Linked DNA regions of Drosophila melanogaster. The protein of the gene in region 1 interacts with the protein of each later gene in a pairwise test. Each region holds a gene or a part of one and is shown in the gene's direction. Other genes may lie near its edges. The genes, in order: CG1737 and ACOX1.

Region 1 (10,726 bases):
AGCTCGAAGGGCAGATCCTGGATCTCTTGAACGCCAAAACTGCGGCCATCGTGATGCGTCCAGCCGTACGAGTCCAGTTTATCGCCCTGCTCGCACCAGTGTCGAATGCCCTGGCCACCGGGGCCCAGATTACTGGGCGTATACCACATCAGGCCCATGACCAGCGAGTGCGGATCCCTGGTCTTCATGCCGAAGTACGTCAACGGACGGTAGGAGCCCCAGTAGCGATCCGGTTGCTCCAGGCCGGCATGCACCACCATCTTCTGGTGATCGAAGGGCGTGTTAACGCGCGTCTCCAGGTAGCCCAGATAGCCGAAGTACGAGGCTATCGCCAGGCAAACGCAACCAATCATCGTTTTCCATTTGTCCAGGATCAAATTCGAGGATAAACTGAAACGCGGGCTGCGCTGCTTCTGTTTGGCATTGGATGCCGCTGCTGCTGCCGCTGCCGCCGCCGCTGCTGCTGCTGCGCTCGATCCGGATGAGGATGCAGCGGGCGTGGAGCCCGAGGAGCTGCCCGTGTTCCTAGCCATTTTGCGCTTGTCCCTTGGCTCTGATTTATCGGCTATTTGTTGTTGCTTCAATTTTCTTGCGAGCGCATTGTTTTCTTTTTTATTTCGATCCGCACTGCGTTGCCGGATCATCCCAACTATTTTCTATGCGGAATTACAAGGGTTTGTGTCCTAGCTATACTATGCTATATTTGAAAACCATAAAATTAATCATTTCCAAAATTTCTTCTCCAAATTTTGTAACAAATCATTTTTCCGTCACATTTCTCGATCGTCAGAAATAAAATCGGAGCTTATGCGTCGCTTGCAATTATTTTAAATTCTTAGTAAACTTTCTTGGAAAATGCTTAAATATTTGGCTGGAATTTTCGTCAGTCCGCGCAATGACTACGCGAATGGTCGCTACAGGATTCCGCATCCGAAGAAGCTGGCCGCCAGGCGAAAGTCGCCCCCGGTGAATATATCCACGAGGAGCGTCATCAATGGCGGCAGGTCGGCAAACGGGAGGCTCAAGACGGAAAATAGAAACGCACGGCGACGTCGAGAGGGCAATCCACATCTGACGCGACCACACAGCCGATCCTCCCAGAAAACCATAGGGATCCGCCTGGATCCCATTAGCTACATCGTAAATGTGCCCAATTCCACTTCATCGCCCGACGACGACGAGGAGGAGGTGCCTGTACCGCAATTGCCCAACGCAGTAAACAAACTGAAGGCTCGAACGTATCGGAAGGAGAATTCCGATTGCCTTATTCCACCGCCAGTTAGTCGCGTCGCGAGTTGGTCGGGTCCTTTGAATGCCAGTCCCTTCAACCAGCTGGATGAGCAGAATTCCATCTCTGACGATGCGGACGCAATGGGCTGGAAAGCGATTTGTTTGCCAGATGATTTTTGGTCGGAGGATTCGGACTCGGAAAGCAAAAGCAAAATGAGTAAAATCAATGTCTTTTAATATACAAAAAATTTATTTTAAATATTATAATAGTTGACCATTCAATAAGATCTTATTATGCTTTTAATAAGTACGAAATTTTACAAATTAATGTAAAGAAATTGTATACTTAATAAATAGCAATAGACTGCAAGCTGAGCAGTTTTTCTGAAACATATTTTGAAATAAAAAGATTTTGTGACGTAATAAGGACATTAAAAAGCGCCACCTTACAAGCAACATTCATGAAAAACGGCGCTGCCAGATGGACCGAGGCGTTACGTGGGAATTAGTACATTTTGGCACTGTACATGTGCATTCAATATTTTGATTTCACTATTATTGCTGCAAATAAACACAGAAAACTGAAAGCATAATGAACGTCAGCGCCGATTTTAAGCCGGTGCCCACGCGTGCAGCGTTGGCGCTGCAAAAGAAGCAGGAGAACACCGAATTTCAGGCACACGTCTTCCACGAATCGCACTTCCAATCGAAAAGTGGAACAAAAAAGCAGGACGACGGCGTCCAAAAATCGCACAAAACCAAGGAGGGCGGCATGGAACTGAATCCCGAATTCGATATCAAGAAGGCGCGCCACGAGGTGCTCAATTTTGCGATCAAAAACCAGCGTGTGATCAAAAACAAGAGCAAAATGGAAATGTTTCAGCTGATCAAGCTGGGCGCCAAGCCGCTGAAGAAGGCCTCCAAAAACTACAAGGAGCTGAAGGACGAACGCCAGCGGCTGAAGAATATTCGCGAGGAGCGCAAGAAGTTCCATCAGTTGGGCAAAAATCAAACGGGCGCCGCCAGCGTCAAATGCCGAACAAAATCGCAAAAGGAGCGCAACGACAAGAGGCGCGCGCCCGTTTCACACATCGATCAGCACTACGGCAAGGCGCAGCCCAAGTTTAAGACGAGAAAATAGTTGTTTATATAGCTCTTAGTTAAATACTAAAACTAGCTTAGTCAAAGGATGGCACTGTTTAAAAATCAATTTATCTATTCTAGCCCTAACGTCAGGCTTAAATTATATAATATATAACTATACCAGCACTGCCAGCATCTTTAACTGTGTAAATAATAATTTAAACATTTAAACCAATTTAAAATATGACCACTTTTATTTTATGCATATTTTTGCGGCCAGGTGGCAGCTTCGCGCTCGTACGTTGCCTTGCCATATTCCTCGCCAATAAGCGCACTTTCCGCGTTACCCAACACGTCCACTTTGTTGATACGTGATTACGTGAATTATTTTTGCGAATTAAACGCTGCAAGCTAGCCAGCCATTAAGTCCAACATGTTCTCGCCCTCACGTGCCCTGCGCCCAGCCCTCAGCCGCTGCTACAGCCAGATCAAGGGCGGACCCGTTTCCGGCGGCGGTAGACCCAGCGCCTCAGGATCTCCAGCTGGAGCCGGATCCTCGCCATCGGGCGGCGCATCCTCGCCATCGGTTGTGGGACTGACCAGCAATTGCGTGAAGCCCAGCAGCGGACCCGTTGGACCAGGTGCCTCCGCCACCGGTGGCTACAAGGTGCCTGAATACTACAGCTTCAATCGCTTTAGCTACGCCGAGGCGGAGGTGGAAATGGCCAAGTACCGCTGCCCACAGCCCTCGGCCCTCAAGTAGATGTAGCCCAATTGTTGATGTTAAATAAAATAAATGCCATTTAAAGAGGACAGTTGAGAATTAGAAAAATCAGTGTTAATCGGTGTCTGTGGCCGATGGGGCAGTTGGGCTGGCAGACATTCTGCAGCACTGGCCGACCGACCGACGGACGCTATACAACACCGTATTACAGCAATCCTCCCCTCTCTTTCCAGTTCCATTTTTCCATCGACAGCGAACCATTTCGAGCGCGCCAATCATAATCGTGTTAATCGTGTCAGAAAGCAAATACAAATTGGTGCGCACATTCAGCTGTTGCAGTTACAGTCGAGCCAAACGATTTGTGTCGCCGATCGCGTGGAATTTCGCCAGCAAAACGCCGAAAAAAGCCCTCGAGAAAAGCAAAAACACACAGGGTCGCTGTGCATGTGTGTGTGTGGTACAGTTGGGTAGAAAATCATCGCCAGAGCGAGTTGCCACCTGGTTGCGCTGCTCCTCTCTCTCTTTCTCGTTCGCTCGCATTTATAATTTTTTTTCTTGTTCCGCCACTATTGCCACCACTTTTGCTGTTCTGCTTTCTGTGCAGCAGCTCAGTTGTTCAGTTCGGTTGTTGTTATTGTGTTGTGCATTCTGGCGTTTTGAAAACATTCTAAATAGCAATAGGCAATCTCTTGCCCAAAGCCCAAAAAGGAAGAAAATATAAAAAACAGTTGCCAATTAAGAGTGACCATCCGCAGCAGCAGCAGCAGCAGAGTTGCAGCGAGAGAACAATAAGCAAAAGAGAGAGCGCGGGCTTGTGAAAGTGCCAGCGAAAAGTGCGATTAAATTGAAGGCAAGCTTAACGCCCGAGAAAATGTTAAGCGATTTTCGAAGGTAAGTTGCTGAATTTCAATCAAACGATATTCTCATCGCTCCATATTCCTACGTGTTTGTGTGTTTGTGTGCATGTAGCTCTATGTGTGTGCCTGCGTGTGCATATGTGTGTGCAACGACTGGCGCGCGAAAAAGTGACGAAAATAGGCGCTAGAGTTGCCAGAGCAGCTAGCTGCACATTACACACATATCAGTGGAATACAGTGGGCCCTGGCTACGCGATACGTGTGCAATGTTGTTACTCTGTAATAAAGCTGCTTGCTTGGATTTCCAATTTCAATGCGATATTTGAAAAATACTACTAATTGCAAATGGGTGAATAACACGATCCCGCTAGCCACAACCCACTGTACTCATCCTATATGGTCACAATGTAACTAATAATCCATTCCGCCTCTTGCCCACGATTCCAGCTACCCATGAAAGATGCGGGCTGGAAAAAAAGAGGCAGCTGAAAGCGTTAAGAAGACACGTAATTGCATCGTCTACGTGAGGAATCTGTACGACGAGTCGTCTTCGCGTAAAGACACGCCAGCCGGCAAACTGAAAGGGAGAGATAACCAACGGGAGGTGCAGCAGGAGCTGCGTGGGACCCGCACCACAAGACGTCAATCCGTCGTCCAGGAGAAGCCCACTCCGCGCACCAGGCACGCTGTGAAGCCAGCAGCGTTATCGCCATCACCATCGTCGCCATCGGCGCGTTCCAAGCTCAGCAGGGAGTCGGCCGTCAAGGAGCAGCCATCCAGCAATCTGGCCAAACGACGCGGCAATTTGCTGCTGGGAGGCAGCAATCATCCCCTGTCCATTAGTCCTCACAAGTTGGGTCTGGACAAGCCACAGCGACGGCGATCCGTTCAAGCGGAGACGCCGAAGATGTTCAAGGTGGTGTCCAGCAAGCGCGTATCGACGAGTCCGCCGCCCACCATTGCGGCCAGTCGTTCGCGCCGATCGATCAAACCGAATCCAAAGTATGTCAGCGAGGATATAGTGACGCCAAAGTACTTGGCCGCCCTGGCCGATGGCGGTGGCCAGTCCATCGGCACGAACGACAGACGCTTGGTCCGCCTGCCGCGAGATGAAATCAGCGATATGCTGGAATTCGAAGAGGACGATGATGACGAAGTGGCGGACGCCGCCTTCAATCCGCAACTGCACAAGTCCGACGATGACGACGACGACGATATAAGCGAGGCCGAGTACGAGCAGGAGCTGCGACGCAAACAGCCGCCCGTCAAGCGTGGACGTGGACGTCCACCGAAGGCGAAAAATGTCAATGCCAATGCCAGCGCGACCAGCGCTGGCAATCTGACTTCCAGCAGCGGCGCCACATCCAAGATATCCATAAATTCGAGCAGCGGCCGCACGGCGTCCACTAGCCTGCAGCAGATGCGTCGCACAATGGCCACGAATATGGCCAAAAGCAATGCCAGCATGACAGACGGATCGAGCACGGGCAAGGGCACTGCGTCCGCCGCGGCCAAACGCAAAATGGACACTAGCGAAAGCGAGAGTCCTGTGCCACGCAAGCGCATAATCATTTCGGGCGGCTCCCAGCAGCGCAGCGGACCGCCTGTGGTGAATGGTGCCAACAGCAAGATGAGCGCGCAGAGAGCGATCACGGCGCGACCGAAGGTGGGCCAGGCGGGCAGTGCGTCAGCCAGGATGCTGCCACAGCGACGCGGCAGCAGTAACAAGATAAACTCATTGTCGAACTCCAATTCGAATTCGATTAGATCCACGCCCGCAACGCGCTCAACTGGCGGTGGTGGTGGCGGCGGCAAGGGTGACGCTAGCAATGATGGGAAAAACGATTCCGAATCGGAGGATATGCCCACATTCACCATTGTAAACATCGATGACATTATCAATCAGGACGATGTGCTCATTTCCAGATCACACACTGCTATGGCCGCTTCCGCAGCTGGCGGTAATTCAATCAAAAAGGTCGCTTTGGGCAGGCCCCGTACCAAGAATATCGGAACCGGCAATTCGGTTGCCGGCGATAAGAAATCCATCACTGTTAACAGCACGCAGAAATCCCTGTCCGCTGCTGTTAACCACAACAATACGACGGCGGGGAATCCAGCCAAGCGCATCAAGATCTTGGCCAGCAACAGTAGTGTCAATACCAAAATGGGACCAGTGCATATCCAGAGTCAACTGCCGAAGCCCCGGCCCAGGATACTCAACGCGGAAATGGGCAAGAAGACGCAGTCGATGAAACCGCTGATGAGCATGGGCAAGGAGCTCTGTCCCACGGACGTCGACACCGAAGAGGACGATCCGGATCCAGATCTCGATTTTGATATCGATAATATACCGGTATCTATTGTTACCCGTAAGAATGCCAATGTCAATGCCAATGCCAAGTCCAAGCAGGTGACGACAACGACGTCGGTGGCGGCGTCGGCGGCGATGACGTCCGCTCCAGCAGCGGTAGCGGTTAACAAGTTGAACAACAATCGGCGCAATGTGCTGTCCACGACAGCGTCGTCGGTGAATGCGCTGATTGCGGACCGGAGGCTGAGCAATCTGCTGGCCGATAACGATGTCCAGCCGGTGTTCAAGAAGCCGAGCCTGGTTCCGCAGCGTCGCAGCAAGGAGAACCAGCAGGAGCAGCAGCGCGACAAGGAGCTGACAACGCTGCGCGAAATATTGCCCACCGGCGGTGGCATCGACGATGCCAACAGTCCCAAATATTTTCCGCCCGAGACCACAACGTTTCACGAGGAGGATGGTCGTGTGGTAAAGAAGATCACCTGCTATGAGACGTGGCATGTGGTTAGCACGGCCAAGGATATGTTGTCGAAGATGGCGCGCCAGCAGCGCACCTGCCTGGAGCTGGCGCTGGTCAAGCTGGCCAATGTGGCGTCACGGATAAAGGTGCCATCGGGCAAATGGACCAGCAAGGTGACGCTGTACAAGGTCTCGCCGTCGATGATGCCCCGCCAGACAATGACCATCTTTACGGGCGATCTCAAGGCGTACAACATACCCGAGGAGGACCGTCACAAGTATCAGCCGTCGTGCGTGCTCTTCCGGCGCGTTGTCGTTGACAAGAACACGTGCCGCGTGCCCTACGATCGGGCCGTCATCTTCAAGAACAAATGCTTCTATGCGAACATCGATGGCAAGCATGTGAATCTGTTGGGTGCCCCCGAGACGGTTGCCACCATCAAGGATGTGGAGATCCTGCTGGATATCGTCGATCGCCTCTCGATCAGCAGCAACATTGTCGAGCTGGTCAACGCTAAGTGAGCGTGGAGGCCTGGTCCATGGTGGCCACAGGAAGAGCACGTATCACATTGTAAAAAATAATTCACACACAGCACTCCCCTCCCCATCCCCATCCCCCTCCCCCATACACATACACAAACAAACAAAGCGGACACTCGATAATTCGTTTTATGCTGTAGTTGTAATAAAACAGATACAAGTTTTTTTTTGTAAAACCATTAACTTAGTTGTAATAGCTAGTGTAGCGTAAATTTATATATATTTATATGTATATATATATATGTATGTATATAAATATATATTAATATATATACACGTATATATAATTATATATTTATATATATGAATATATATATATATATATTTATATAAATTTTTATATATATATATCTCGTATATTATAAACAGCGGACGGACATACATAAATACAAACGGCAGATGTATCTATGTAATATAAACTAAACTAAAGAAAACAATTAATTGTAAAATGCTCGCCCAACTCTCGAAGGGATTGCGAAGTTCCGGGCGGTCGAGGTATATCAATAATGATTTTTATTTTAAATGCGTTGGAATACATAGCCCCCCTCCGCCTTCCCCGCGAGTCCCGCCCCCTTCGAAATCCTTTTTTTTTAAATTGCTATTATCGTAGTCGATTCAATAATATAAAACCGGGCGTACATGTGCCTACGCCCGCGTGGAGGACTAGCCAGTAAGTTAGTCGAGTGTATATCTAAGTGATCCCAATTCAAAGCATACAAATAAAAGAGAAAACTGATTTAAATAACGAGCGCCATTGCGTGATAAATGGCGGGCGGGGTTATCTGGAAATCGGGCAGCTATAAATAAACTGCGGCCAACGCTAGAGATTTTCGTGTGAAAAGCGAAAGAAGATAAGGAACGCAGGCTTCAAGTGGATGGATGGATGAGTTTCCTTGGTCAAGTTTCCATGACAAGGATAAAGACTCTACTTTTAAACAGGACACTCTTCAACTATGCTACATCATTATATGGTAAATTAATACAATTAAGAGTTCAATATAGCTGTAGTTTTAGATTCTACATGTTTTATGTAATAGAAATTGCTATTTTGTTAAATTATAATAAATTTATTGTTTTGAATAAGTATTCAAATTAAACGATATTTATCGATAACTTTGGTATTTAATTTTAAAAGTGTTTGAACTACATTCAAATTGTAAAGCAAATATCGTTAGAGAGAGCATTTCCAATAGAAACTAAATACATTGCAGTTTTTAGTAGTTTTCCATACGCTTTTTCAGAATATTCGTTTGAGAAAATGTTAAGAATGTTCGAATTCGAAAGGGTCTGGCATCGCCGGCAGTGTGACCAACTGCCCGGCGCTTTGGCATTCCGTGCGTGACGAGCGGCTAACACACTGTTTTTTTTTAGTCTCAAAATTCTAACAAATTTATTGATAAACTAGCAATATGCTCGTTTCGCCCTGCCCCCGCTGCGTGCACCGACATTAAAGCGCACCAAATCGTGCTAATGGAGCAATATCAACGCCGTGCAAATCGACGAATTAACAGCCGCCGCTTCCATTGAATCGAAATACCCAGCCCAAAAAAAAGAGAAAGAAAAAGTAAAAGAAACGCGTGCGAGAGCGAGAGGGCTAGAGCGACCAGGGGGAGAAAAGCAAAATCGAGTGAATTTTGTTTGTTGTATCGGCTTTTCCCTGGCTTAATCCCGTTTTCCCTGTGATTTTTCCCCACCAACTTCCCACGCCACCTCCCCACCGCATCCATCGCATTTCGTTTTGATCGCGTTTTATCGCGTCGAGGAGTTTTCCCGTGGATTTCCGCAGTCGGCGCAGCTAAAATGGACGCGGACAGGGGCGGCGGGCAGGAGACGAAGGTGATATACCACATCGACGATGAGACGACGCCGTATCTGGTGAAGATCCCCATTCCATCCGCCCAGGTGACGCTGCGCGATTTCAAGCTGGTGCTGAACAAGCAGAACAACAACTACAAGTACTTCTTCAAGTCAATGGACGCCGATTTCGGTGTGGTCAAAGAGGAAATAGCCGACGACTCCACCATACTGCCCTGCTTCAATGGGCGAGTGGTGTCCTGGCTGGTCTCCGCCGATGGTACCAATCAGTCAGATAACTGCTCCGAGCTGCCAACCAGTGAGTGTGAATTGGGCATGGGTCTGACCAACAGGAAGCTACAGCAGCAACAGCAGCAGCATCAGCAGCAGCAACAACAACAGCAGCAGCAGCACCAGCAACAGCAACAACAACAGCAGCAGCAGGTGCAGCCTGTCCAGCTGGCGCAGCAGCAACAGCAGCAGGTGCTCCATCACCAGAAGATGATGGGCAATCCGCTGCTGCAGCCGCCACCGCTCACATATCAATCGGCATCCGTGCTCTCCAGCGATCTGGACTCGACCAGTCTCTTTGGCACCGAATCCGAATTGACGCTGGACCGCGACATGACCGACTATAGCAGCGTTCAGCGATTGCAGGTGCGCAAGAAGCCGCAGAGGCGCAAAAAACGGGCGCCCAGCATGTCGCGCACCTCCTCGTACAGCTCCATAACCGACTCGACCATGTCCCTAAATATCATTACCGTCTCCATCAACATGGAGGCGGTCAACTTTCTGGGCATATCCATTGTCGGGCAATCGAATCGCGGCGGCGACGGCGGCATCTACGTGGGCAGCATCATGAAAGGCGGCGCAGTGGCACTCGATGGACGCATCGAACCGGGCGACATGATCCTCCAAGTGAACGATGTCAACTTCGAGAACATGACCAACGACGAGGCGGTACGTGTGCTGAGAGAAGTCGTTCAGAAGCCGGGACCCATCAAGCTGGTGGTGGCCAAGTGCTGGGACCCAAATCCCAAGGGCTACTTCACCATTCCGCGCACGGAGCCGGTGCGACCCATCGATCCCGGTGCTTGGGTGGCGCACACTCAGGCCCTCACATCGCACGACAGTATTATTGCCGACATTGCGGAGCCGATTAAGGAGCGTCTGGACCAGAATAACCTCGAGGAGATCGTTAAGGCGATGACGAAGCCGGACAGCGGCCTGGAGATCAGGGATCGCATGTGGCTAAAGATAACGATTCCCAATGCATTTATCGGCGCCGATGCGGTCAATTGGGTGCTGGAGAATGTGGAGGATGTTCAGGATAGGCGGGAGGCGCGAAGGATCGTCTCGGCGATGCTGCGCAGCAATTACATCAAGCATACGGTCAATAAGTTGACCTTCTCGGAGCAGTGCTACTACGTGGTGAACGAGGAGCGCAATCCCAATCTGTTGGGCCGAGGACATCTGCATCCGCACCAGCTGCCGCACGGGCATGGCGGCCATGCGCTTAGCCATGCGGACACCGAGAGCATCACCAGCGACATCGGGCCGCTACCGAACCCGCCCATTTATATGCCATATTCGGCCACGTACAATCCAAGTCACGGCTATCAGCCGATCCAGTACGGCATCGCCGAGCGACACATCTCGTCGGGATCGAGTAGCAGCGATGTGCTGACCAGCAAGGATATCTCGGCGTCGCAGAGCGACATCACCTCG
Region 2 (9,106 bases), on another chromosome or scaffold:
TGGTTTTCAATACCCAAAGCTGAGCCCACAGTGGCCAGTCTGCGATACTCGTCCAGTCGCGTTTCATTGTGAGCAATGAAGATGCCACCATTTTGAATCCATCCCGGATCCAGCTCCGTTTCCTCCTCCAATTGCTGCAGCATGCGACGTGAATTAGCCAGCAGCTGAATATCCACATCGTTGGGACGCAGGCGCCACAGCAATCCAGCCGTGTGCCAGGTGGTTCCGGCCGTAAGTTGGGCGCGTTCCAGGAGCACGGCCTTGACACCACGTCGTGCCAGGTGATACAGTGTGTGACAGCCCGCCGAACCACCGCCAATAACCACAACATCTGCTGCGCCTGGCAGGAATCCACTTGGTTCCCTTCGAGCTCCTCCATCTTCCCTCACTTGTTTGCTGATTCCACGGCGCGAAGCTTGCTGCAGGATGCGATGGCGCCACATCTCAAAAACGGCCGAGCGCGACGACTTTAGAATCTCAACTGAATTCTCGAGTTAAAAACACAATACCGCCATAATAATCTCCCGCTGAATTGATCGGATAACCCATGGTTCAGCATCCTGATAAACCTGCTGTGCCAGTGACGTTCCATCCATGACTGGAGGCCCTAATCAAGGCCACGTTTTAGGGTCACAGCACGTTTCTTATCTGGGTTCGGAGGCGTGGCAAGTAGTAAAATTAGTTAGCAGCTACGTAGGTCAAAAAACAATTTAATCTGAGCAAATTTTTAGTTTCAATAAAGATGCGGTTTAACAGATGCTTCTTGCTAATATGTTGTGGTTTCAATTAATCCATTCATATAAATAGATTTATTAAACTCTTGCTTTTCTTTTAAAAGCACTTAAAGAAAACGTAAATTCTATAGATTAAACAAAGTGTTGCCTACATATATGTACATATATTTTCGAGTATTTTCATTTCCCGCAGAAAATTTGAAAAGTCAAAATCGTTCTCGGAACTTAAAACTCCCCACATAAGCAATGAAATTTTGGACCCATACTCAAATGCCAACCATCGCGGCGACCCCAAACAGGATACGCAGTTGAACCCCAGGATTATAATCTCTTCCGATCTGCCATTAATGCCTATCTCCAAATGCACTGCGAGATCGAATACCAGGTGGTGCCATCTGGAGCCGGAGTCTTGGCACGCTTCGCACTCGCCCGTCGCACATCCTTACGGCACAACATCCCCACTCCAACGCCCGTAGTGAACCGGATAAACCGAGCGTTTCATTTTGAATTTTCCCGCAGACCGACGGAGGAACACTGTGTGGCCAATGTGGTGGCAGCCAGAAGGCAAACAACCGAGAAAGAGACCGCCGATCGCACCATGTGTCCGGATTCCTCCGCCAATTGGGACTGTTTGCGGAGCAGGCACGCCCACCAGAGGTGCCAGAAATAGACGGAATCTGGAGAGCTGCAAACTGCGGAGCAGAATGCTCAAAAAGGAGGATCTCCCCGTAACCCGTGACAGAAGTGCTCTACGTGCCACGCAGATCGGACGTATTCGACTCACAGATTGGTTTCGGTTCGGTGCGTTTCGATTTTAAGTGAGAAAACTGAGTGATTGGAATTTTATATCCAATTTGAAAATATTCGAAGTGATTCTTGTGATACCACCAACTTGTTTTTGAACAATGCCACGCAAGAAGCGCAGTTCCAGCCCCACGGAGTTCTTTGATGACGACTTCGATGAGGATGCCAGTTCTCAAAGTGAGTTCGATTTCAATTTATAGGTGATTTTGTACTTATATTAAAAAGATGTATTATAAACGCTTAAAAACGTTGACAATGTAAATATGTTTAGCTAGTTTTGTAAATTTATTATTTACTTTAAAGTAAAATTCAATTTCCTTAGAATTTTTTAAATCGAACTTTAGAATTTACCTTAAAAGGAATGTTAATTTAAAATGCGTTAAGCTCTAAATGAAAATATAATAATAATGATAAAAATTATAATAACAGAAAGCACAATAGATATAAATTGAGTTTAAAATTCATACTCCATATGCTTTTTGAACTTCATACTTTGCGAAGATATCTATAATGTAACTTAAAACTTTTGTGGATACCAATAAAACCTTTTGTTTCTAATTAATCTCTTGTTATTGGAGCTCCTTAAGATGTATCTACATTTCTGATTTTCCAGGCTCCCAACCGCCGGTGCAGCGAAATGCGGCAAATGCCCGGGAGCGGATGCGTATGCGGGTTTTATCCAGCGCCTACGGACGTTTGAAGACCAAGCTGCCCAACATTCCGCCGGACACGAAGCTCTCCAAGTTGGACACGTTGCGTTTGGCCACGCTCTACATCAAGCAGCTAATTACGGCTGTGGAGACAGGCAGCCACTCGCAGAACCACCCGCACAACCACAACCAGCACCACAGCCTCAACCACAGTCACTCGAGTACCACCAGTTCCGAAGGCCTGGACACAAGTCACATGGCAGATTCGTCCGGTGGAGGCAATTATAATTTCCACAACAACGGACACGGCATGGTAAGTGTCATGCAATTGCGATCCCCCTGCCCGAATATAAGTGATGTCACTGCCACCACTTAACGATGCACTGCACCCGCGGCTCGGGGGAACGGGAACGCATTAATGAGCCGGCCACTTCAGGTGGATCTCGTCAGTTAATGACAGGTGTCGCAGGGGATGCCCAGTGATATGCCCAAGATCAATGTTTATTCATGGATTTCAGTCTAATTGAGAAGTAATGTTCAGCCGATCGGGATTCCCATAAGTTTATGTCTTTTTATGGAAAGTTTGGTATTGGGAATGAAAATTTTTCTTTTATGCGTTTTCTTTGAAAAGCCATTAAGGAAATAAAGTAGGTAGATATTTGTAAATTTTGCTAGTTGAAATTAGCCTTTCGTAGAATTTTAACTTAGAGATCGTGGAAAGTTACACGGAAACCCAGGCTTCAGTGTTTAAAATTTAAAAAATTGATACTATTACAATTTAAACGTATACGCAATCTATTATTCTCATTTTTTTTTTAACAAGCAACTTAAGTATTTAGTAATACTACTCAACTTATAGGGGTAATTCAACGCAATTTTAGCGAAATATAGATCAAAAATCCAAAGGAATGTGGTGCAACATCTGCTTGGTGATGCGGACGCGATGCGGCGACAAGTATTTCCACCTTTTCTAGATGTGGAGGTGAACCACAAACGTAACCACATCCACATCCCATGACCGGAGTCAGCCATTCAGCCGGGCCCCCCACTAGAACACCGAAATCACATTTTGTGATTTCAGACTGCCTTGCTTTCCTGTAATCCGATACTTTTGTGAATTTCGAAAATATTAAATATGAGTGACAGGCTGTTGGTGGAGCGGGCAGGGAACGGAGATGGTAACGCAGACCTGCGGATCTGGATGGGGGGCACTAGTTAGTCTTTGCTTTTATTTTTTATTTTTAAAGATGCTCTTGATGCTTTGAAGCGACACAGTGAATGACATGCGAGGGAAAGTGTCATCCTCAGTAGTTTTCCCACTCGGATTATTGTAATTAAAATTTGTCTAACCGTGTTTATCCATCAGCCATTCCCGCTGGAGTTTACACAATCTATCACTCAAGATTCATGGCGTGCACAACTTATCTAAATAGATGCAATTGTTTACACACCGAATGCGTGAAAAATTCAGCAAATACGGCTCCGTCTTGTGCCCATATGGTGGCAAATCAGATCGGATCGGAGAGTCCCGACCCTATCCGAATTTATACCATCCACGCGCCCAAGATGATCTGTTGGGAACAACCCATTGGTTCGCTATTTGCTCGCTAGCCCTAGCATCCCTATATCCCATTTCCAATCCCTCATTGTATGGCATACAAATGAGTGTCTCTTGTCCGCAAGTGTTTGGCTGTTTATGTTTTTATAGATCCGTTAATGAGGCTGTTATTGTAGATCTAGACGTGGAGGCGGGGGTGGGCACTAAAAACAATCAAAGTTGCGTAAACAAACAATGGCGCTGTCTCGGGATGGGTTGTCGTCATATTGTTCCATATATAGCCCCTGCGGTTTCCACAACTCCTATGATTTATGCCTGTTTTATCCACACATTCCACATTATACTGTCTTGCAGAGCTGGCCCTTTGAGTTCCACCAGAGTAGCCGGAGTTTGGCATTTGCCCCATCATCATCAACCACCTCATCCGCCCGTATGGATTGGCAAACCCTGCATACGCAATCTTATCCGAAGACTACGCGAGGCGAAACCCATGTTTCGGCGGATCTAAGTTACCATCAGTTGCCGGAATCTCACAGTCACTGGTATCCGGCGGAAGTGCATCAAATGGAGCCAGCGGCCAGCTGTTCCTATGACTCTGGAATGGGGCAGCATCAGCGGGGCATAGCTATAGCCACTAGCCATGCCCATGGCATTTAAGCGGATATTATAAATAATGTTCTGACCTAAGCCAAATGAATTTACCACCTAGTAAGTGTATTAAATCGTGATTTAATTTTACGTGTTTCCGTATGTGCAAGCCTGAACCTATGCTATAAGGCCAAAGATTGGTGTTACCTCATGATCATTTAGCTAGCAAATATATCTATGTTTTTAATAAAATTGGAATTTTTGAATTTTTTTGAATTGGCGCCAAGATTATGGTGACTGTATCCCTGGAGTTGTCGAGTGCTGCCGTACTTGTTTGTATTTTGCAGCCCTGTTCAACAGCTGATTTCGTCACAATACAAACAAAGAGCTGCTAAAAACAAAATTAATCTATTAATTAAGGCGGAATTCAAATACCCTACTTTTTTTAAAACGGCTAATTTGAGACATTTTAAAGATGTTATTTATGCAGAAAGATGTAGTGAATTTGCATTATTCACTTGCAAACAAATTATACGAACAAAGAAGCTTATGAAAGCAATCTTATTTAAATTAGAAACAAACTGAAAGAAAACGCCCAAGTACTTTTTACATGCAGTGTATTTATTTTGTGTATTTACTCATAAATGTAGCCCAACAACAATGGCGTGAGAATAATGGTTGTGCTACAGACTATTTCAACACAAAAGCGAACTTATTACATGTGTATTTTCGCGGTTAAAGTTCACGTCGTTCGAGAGCTGGCATCGATGATTAGATTCGGAATAGCTGGATCAGATCAGCAGTCCATAATCTCAATCTCCTCCACTGGATTTCCTCCACCAGCACTTGAGTGACCGACTGACTGACCACTGAGCGCAATTCGCCTTTCCAGCAACAATCAGTCAGTACGCGATATTCAACGAAGACGGACGCTTTGCGGTGGCTCGTTAATCCATAACCTGTTTACGTGACTTGAATACTGTGCCGCATAGCAAAATGCCAGCCAAACCAGTGAATCCCGATCTCCAGAAGGAACGCAGCACGGCCACCTTCAATCCCCGGGAGTTCTCCGTTCTGTGGGCCGGCGGCGAGGAGCGATTCAAGGAGAAGAAGGCCCTGGGTGAGTTAGCTTAGAAGGGAAAAACACCGGATTTCAAGCTTCTCCGGTGACCCCGACAGACCTACATGTACATTCACATTAACCGGTCGCTCAGAGCTTTATCTGAGCTTGGCGCAATCGCGTTTCCCAACAGTGGATGCAAGAAATTGTGCCAAAAGCATGACTTGGCAATTAAGCTAGGCTTTAACGCATTTATAGCTAATCTGTAGGGTACAAACTCTGATGCTAGCCATGTCAGCCACTGATAAATTATCCAAAACATCCTGTCAACTTCTTTGTTTTGATACGCTTCTTCTCCGTCCATTCATTCATGCGATTTGTTGATTTTGCTGCACGCCGTGGCCCAAAGTTCATTAATTATGTATTCCGCATAAACAAGCCGCTACTAGTTAATCAGCACCTATTAGCCAGCTCATAAGTTATTAATCTTTGAACTTCGCGCGAATCGCGATCAATCCGACTACTTGTGTACTTTGAATGTTTGCAGCTACCCACCATCTATTTCCAGGTCCACTTGAAATTAGTTTAGCTGATAGGTTTATCTGACAGATTTGCACGGTCGCTCAGGGCATCATAAATGGACAATGCCCAGTAACTCCCGCGAATTAACGAAGAATACTTTCCACTCATGATTACGCTGCAAAATTCAACAATGCTTATCTAAATGACACCTCCTAAAATATTAAATCCCTTTCCTTATGGCTTCATTTACATTAAATTTCGTTTATGATTTTTCCAGAGAAATTGTTTTTGGAGGATCCAGCCCTTCAGGACGACTTGCCCATTTCCTATTTGTCACACAAGGAGCTCTATGAGCACAGCTTGCGCAAAGCCTGCATCATAGGAGAGAAGATCCGCAAGCTACGTGCTGATGGCGAGGATGGAGTGGATACTTACAAGTAAAGAAATCCTTATATTTAATGTACTTCAGGTTGTAATTTGTGTGCTTATAGTGCTCTGCTTGGTGGATCCTTGGGATCGGCTATTCTAAAGGAGGGCAATCCGCTTGCGCTGCACTACGTGATGTTCGTGCCCACCATCATGGGCCAGGGAACGATGGATCAGCAGGTGGAATGGCTGAGCAAGGCCTGGGACTGTGAAATCATTGGCACCTATGCCCAAACGGAACTGGGACACGGAACCTTCCTGCGCGGTCTGGAGACCAGGGCTGACTACGATGCCAGCACCCAGGAGTTTGTTATAAACACTCCATCACTCAGTGCATACAAGTGGTGGCCCGGTGGATGTGAGTTTTCTTGAACACTTAATATTTTGAAATTGTTATAAAATCTGGGACTTGCAGTGGGACACACTGCTAACCATGCGGTTGTGGTGGCACAACTCTACACCAAGGGCGAGTTCCGTGGTCTGGCTCCTTTTATTGTCCAATTGAGGGATTCCGATACTCACCGTCCCATGCCCGGCATCGACATTGGAGATATTGGTACCAAGCTGGGCATGAAGGGTGTCAACAATGGCTATTTGGGACTGAAGAACGTACGGGTGCCTTTAAACAACATGCTGATGAAGAACCAGCAAGTGCTGCCCGATGGCACATATGTGGCGCCGAAGAATAGCGTGCTTACCTACGGAACTATGGTACTATTACACATATTCACTATATCTTCACAGAGATTTTAACCATTTTTTCATTCAAGATGTTTGTGCGTTGTGCTCTTATCCGTGATACCGCTCAGAGCCTGGCAAAGGCATCCACTATTGCCACTAGGTATTCAGCTGTTCGCCGACAGAGTCCCATTGATCCCAATCAACCGGAGCCCCAAATCATGGACCATACCACGCAGCAGTTGAAGTTGTTCCCCCAGATAGCTAAAGCCATCGTTTTCAAAACGACGGGTGATGGCATCTGGAATATGTACAACGTGATATCTGGCGAGATTGAGCAGGGTAACTTGGATCGCCTGCCCGAAATGCATGCATTGTCCTGCTGCCTTAAGGCCATCTGTAGTGCCGATGCCGCCGCCGGCGTGGAAACGTGTCGTCTGTCATGTGGCGGACATGGCTACATGGACTGCTCCAACTTCCCCACGATATACGGCATGACCACGGCCGTTTGCACCTATGAGGGCGAGAACACAGTGATGCTGCTGCAGACTGCTCGCTATTTGGTGAAGGTTTATGGGCAGGCCTTGAATGGAGAGAAGCTGGTGCCAACGGTTTCGTACATCAGTGATGCAATAAACCAAACCAAGTTTGTTAACTTTGACGGATCATTGAGGTCTATTGTCAAGGCTTTCCAATTCGTTGCCGCCAAGTAAGTATTTACTAAAGAAAAAAAGGTAGAAGTACCAAGTATTTAAATTCATATTTTTATATCAGCAAAACCCGAATTGCCTATGAGCAGATTGAACTGCGCCGCAAGCAAGGTTATGGTACCGAGGTGGCAGCTAATCTATGTGGCACCTTCCTAACAGCAGCTGCAGATGTAAGTCGTAATGAAATATCTGTTATTCACTCAGTATCCTATATAATTTTGTACCACTTGTAGCTTCATGGACGCGCCTTCCTAGCGCAGACTGCCTATACGGAGCTTTTGGCCTTGTCGCGCGAGGTGTCCCCAGAACTAGCTGAAGTCCTAAAGGTGGTGCTGGAGCTGTATCTGGTAGACGCCTGCCTCAACCGCATTGGCGACTTCTTGCGGGTACGATTTTAAATTGATATTAGTTAAGAATATTTAATGTTATATGTAACTTTCAACAGTTCATTGATCTCACTGATCAAGATGTCACGAAACTGGAGGTTCGCCTGGAGAACTGCTTAAAACGATTCCGGCCGAATGCCGTCAGCTTGGTGGACAGCTTTGATCTTCACGATCGCGTGCTAGATTCCGCATTGGGTGCCTATGATGGAAATGTTTACGAACACATCTTCGAGTCTACGAAGAAGAACCCGTTGAACAAGGAGCCAGTCAACGGAGCATTCCACAAGTACTTGAAGCCATTCATGAAGGCTCACCTCTAGATTCATATCCTATTGCTCTGGAAGATTTTCACAAGTGTTATTATTGTAAATATACATTTGTTTCCATTGTTTTTGTATTATACAACTGTCTGCTTAGCAAATGGTCTTTAAGACAATTATGATGTCAGGGCTTGTGCAGTTGAAACTAGGCTGTAAAATTATACACAAATAAAATATTCAACTATATTTAAAGGCAGTATTTAGTGTGTGTTTGGGCTTAACTAAATCGCTTTATTAAAGTTTGTTTTCTGATGGTGTTGCAAGATAGAGAGTAGCTCACTTATTGACTTCGTACAATGATGAACGCACTTACGACGCACTTGCCTTCGAGTTACGTTGTGCGTAAAGACGTCTCAGTAATCGGTTGCCAGCCAGGAATGTGAATACTGCGATGGGAATCAGCAGGCGCAGTGTCTGGAACATGTTAAGCTGCAGCCAGAACACGAAGAACAGCACCAGAATGCCACCGAAACCCAGATGAAACCCGATCGTACTCGGTGCCAGCGTCAGGTTAGATACATTGATGCCCAGTTTTCCCCAAAAAACGAAAAGCAGCACAAGCGGGGTTATGCACAGTCCGGTGAAGATATCAGAAACAATGCGGGGCGGGCGCTTATCGGGCACTCGGAACTGATGGATGATTTCGGGCAGGGGACCAGAAGTGTTCTTA

The links.
Region 2: the proteins of CG1737 (region 1) and ACOX1 interact in a two-hybrid assay, tested with the Drosophila melanogaster proteins (one large-scale study listed by BioGRID).

What each region holds. Positions count from the first base shown.
Region 1 is NC_004354.4:11,347,350-11,358,075, forward strand, and holds CG1737 (uncharacterized protein), read left to right. Parts: upstream 1-3,258; 5' UTR 3,259-3,494; exon of another isoform or gene 3,495-3,644; 5' UTR 3,645-3,928; intron 3,929-4,341; 5' UTR 4,342-4,354; coding exon 4,355-7,186; 3' UTR 7,187-8,190; downstream 8,191-10,726. Other genes in the region: GCS1 (glucosidase 1), read right to left, coding at 1-533; CG11756 (uncharacterized protein), read left to right, coding at 856-1,467; CG1738 (uncharacterized protein), read left to right, coding at 1,823-2,371; NdufV3 (NADH:ubiquinone oxidoreductase subunit V3), read left to right, coding at 2,747-3,076; dsh (dishevelled), read left to right, coding at 9,005-10,726.
Region 2 is NT_033778.4:17,755,936-17,765,041, forward strand, and holds ACOX1 (acyl-CoA oxidase 1), read left to right. Parts: upstream 1-5,004; 5' UTR 5,005-5,330; coding exon 5,331-5,454; intron 5,455-6,193; coding exon 6,194-6,353; intron 6,354-6,407; coding exon 6,408-6,700; intron 6,701-6,757; coding exon 6,758-7,053; intron 7,054-7,112; coding exon 7,113-7,729; intron 7,730-7,794; coding exon 7,795-7,900; intron 7,901-7,963; coding exon 7,964-8,116; intron 8,117-8,175; coding exon 8,176-8,436; 3' UTR 8,437-8,606; downstream 8,607-9,106. Other genes in the region: Sardh (sarcosine dehydrogenase), read right to left, coding at 1-443; HLH54F, read left to right, coding at 1,640-1,715, 2,152-2,501, 4,101-4,403; OstDelta (oligosaccharide transferase delta subunit), read right to left, coding at 8,746-9,106. UniProt on the Drosophila melanogaster protein: Catalyzes the desaturation of acyl-CoAs to 2-trans-enoyl-CoAs. First enzyme of the fatty acid beta-oxidation pathway.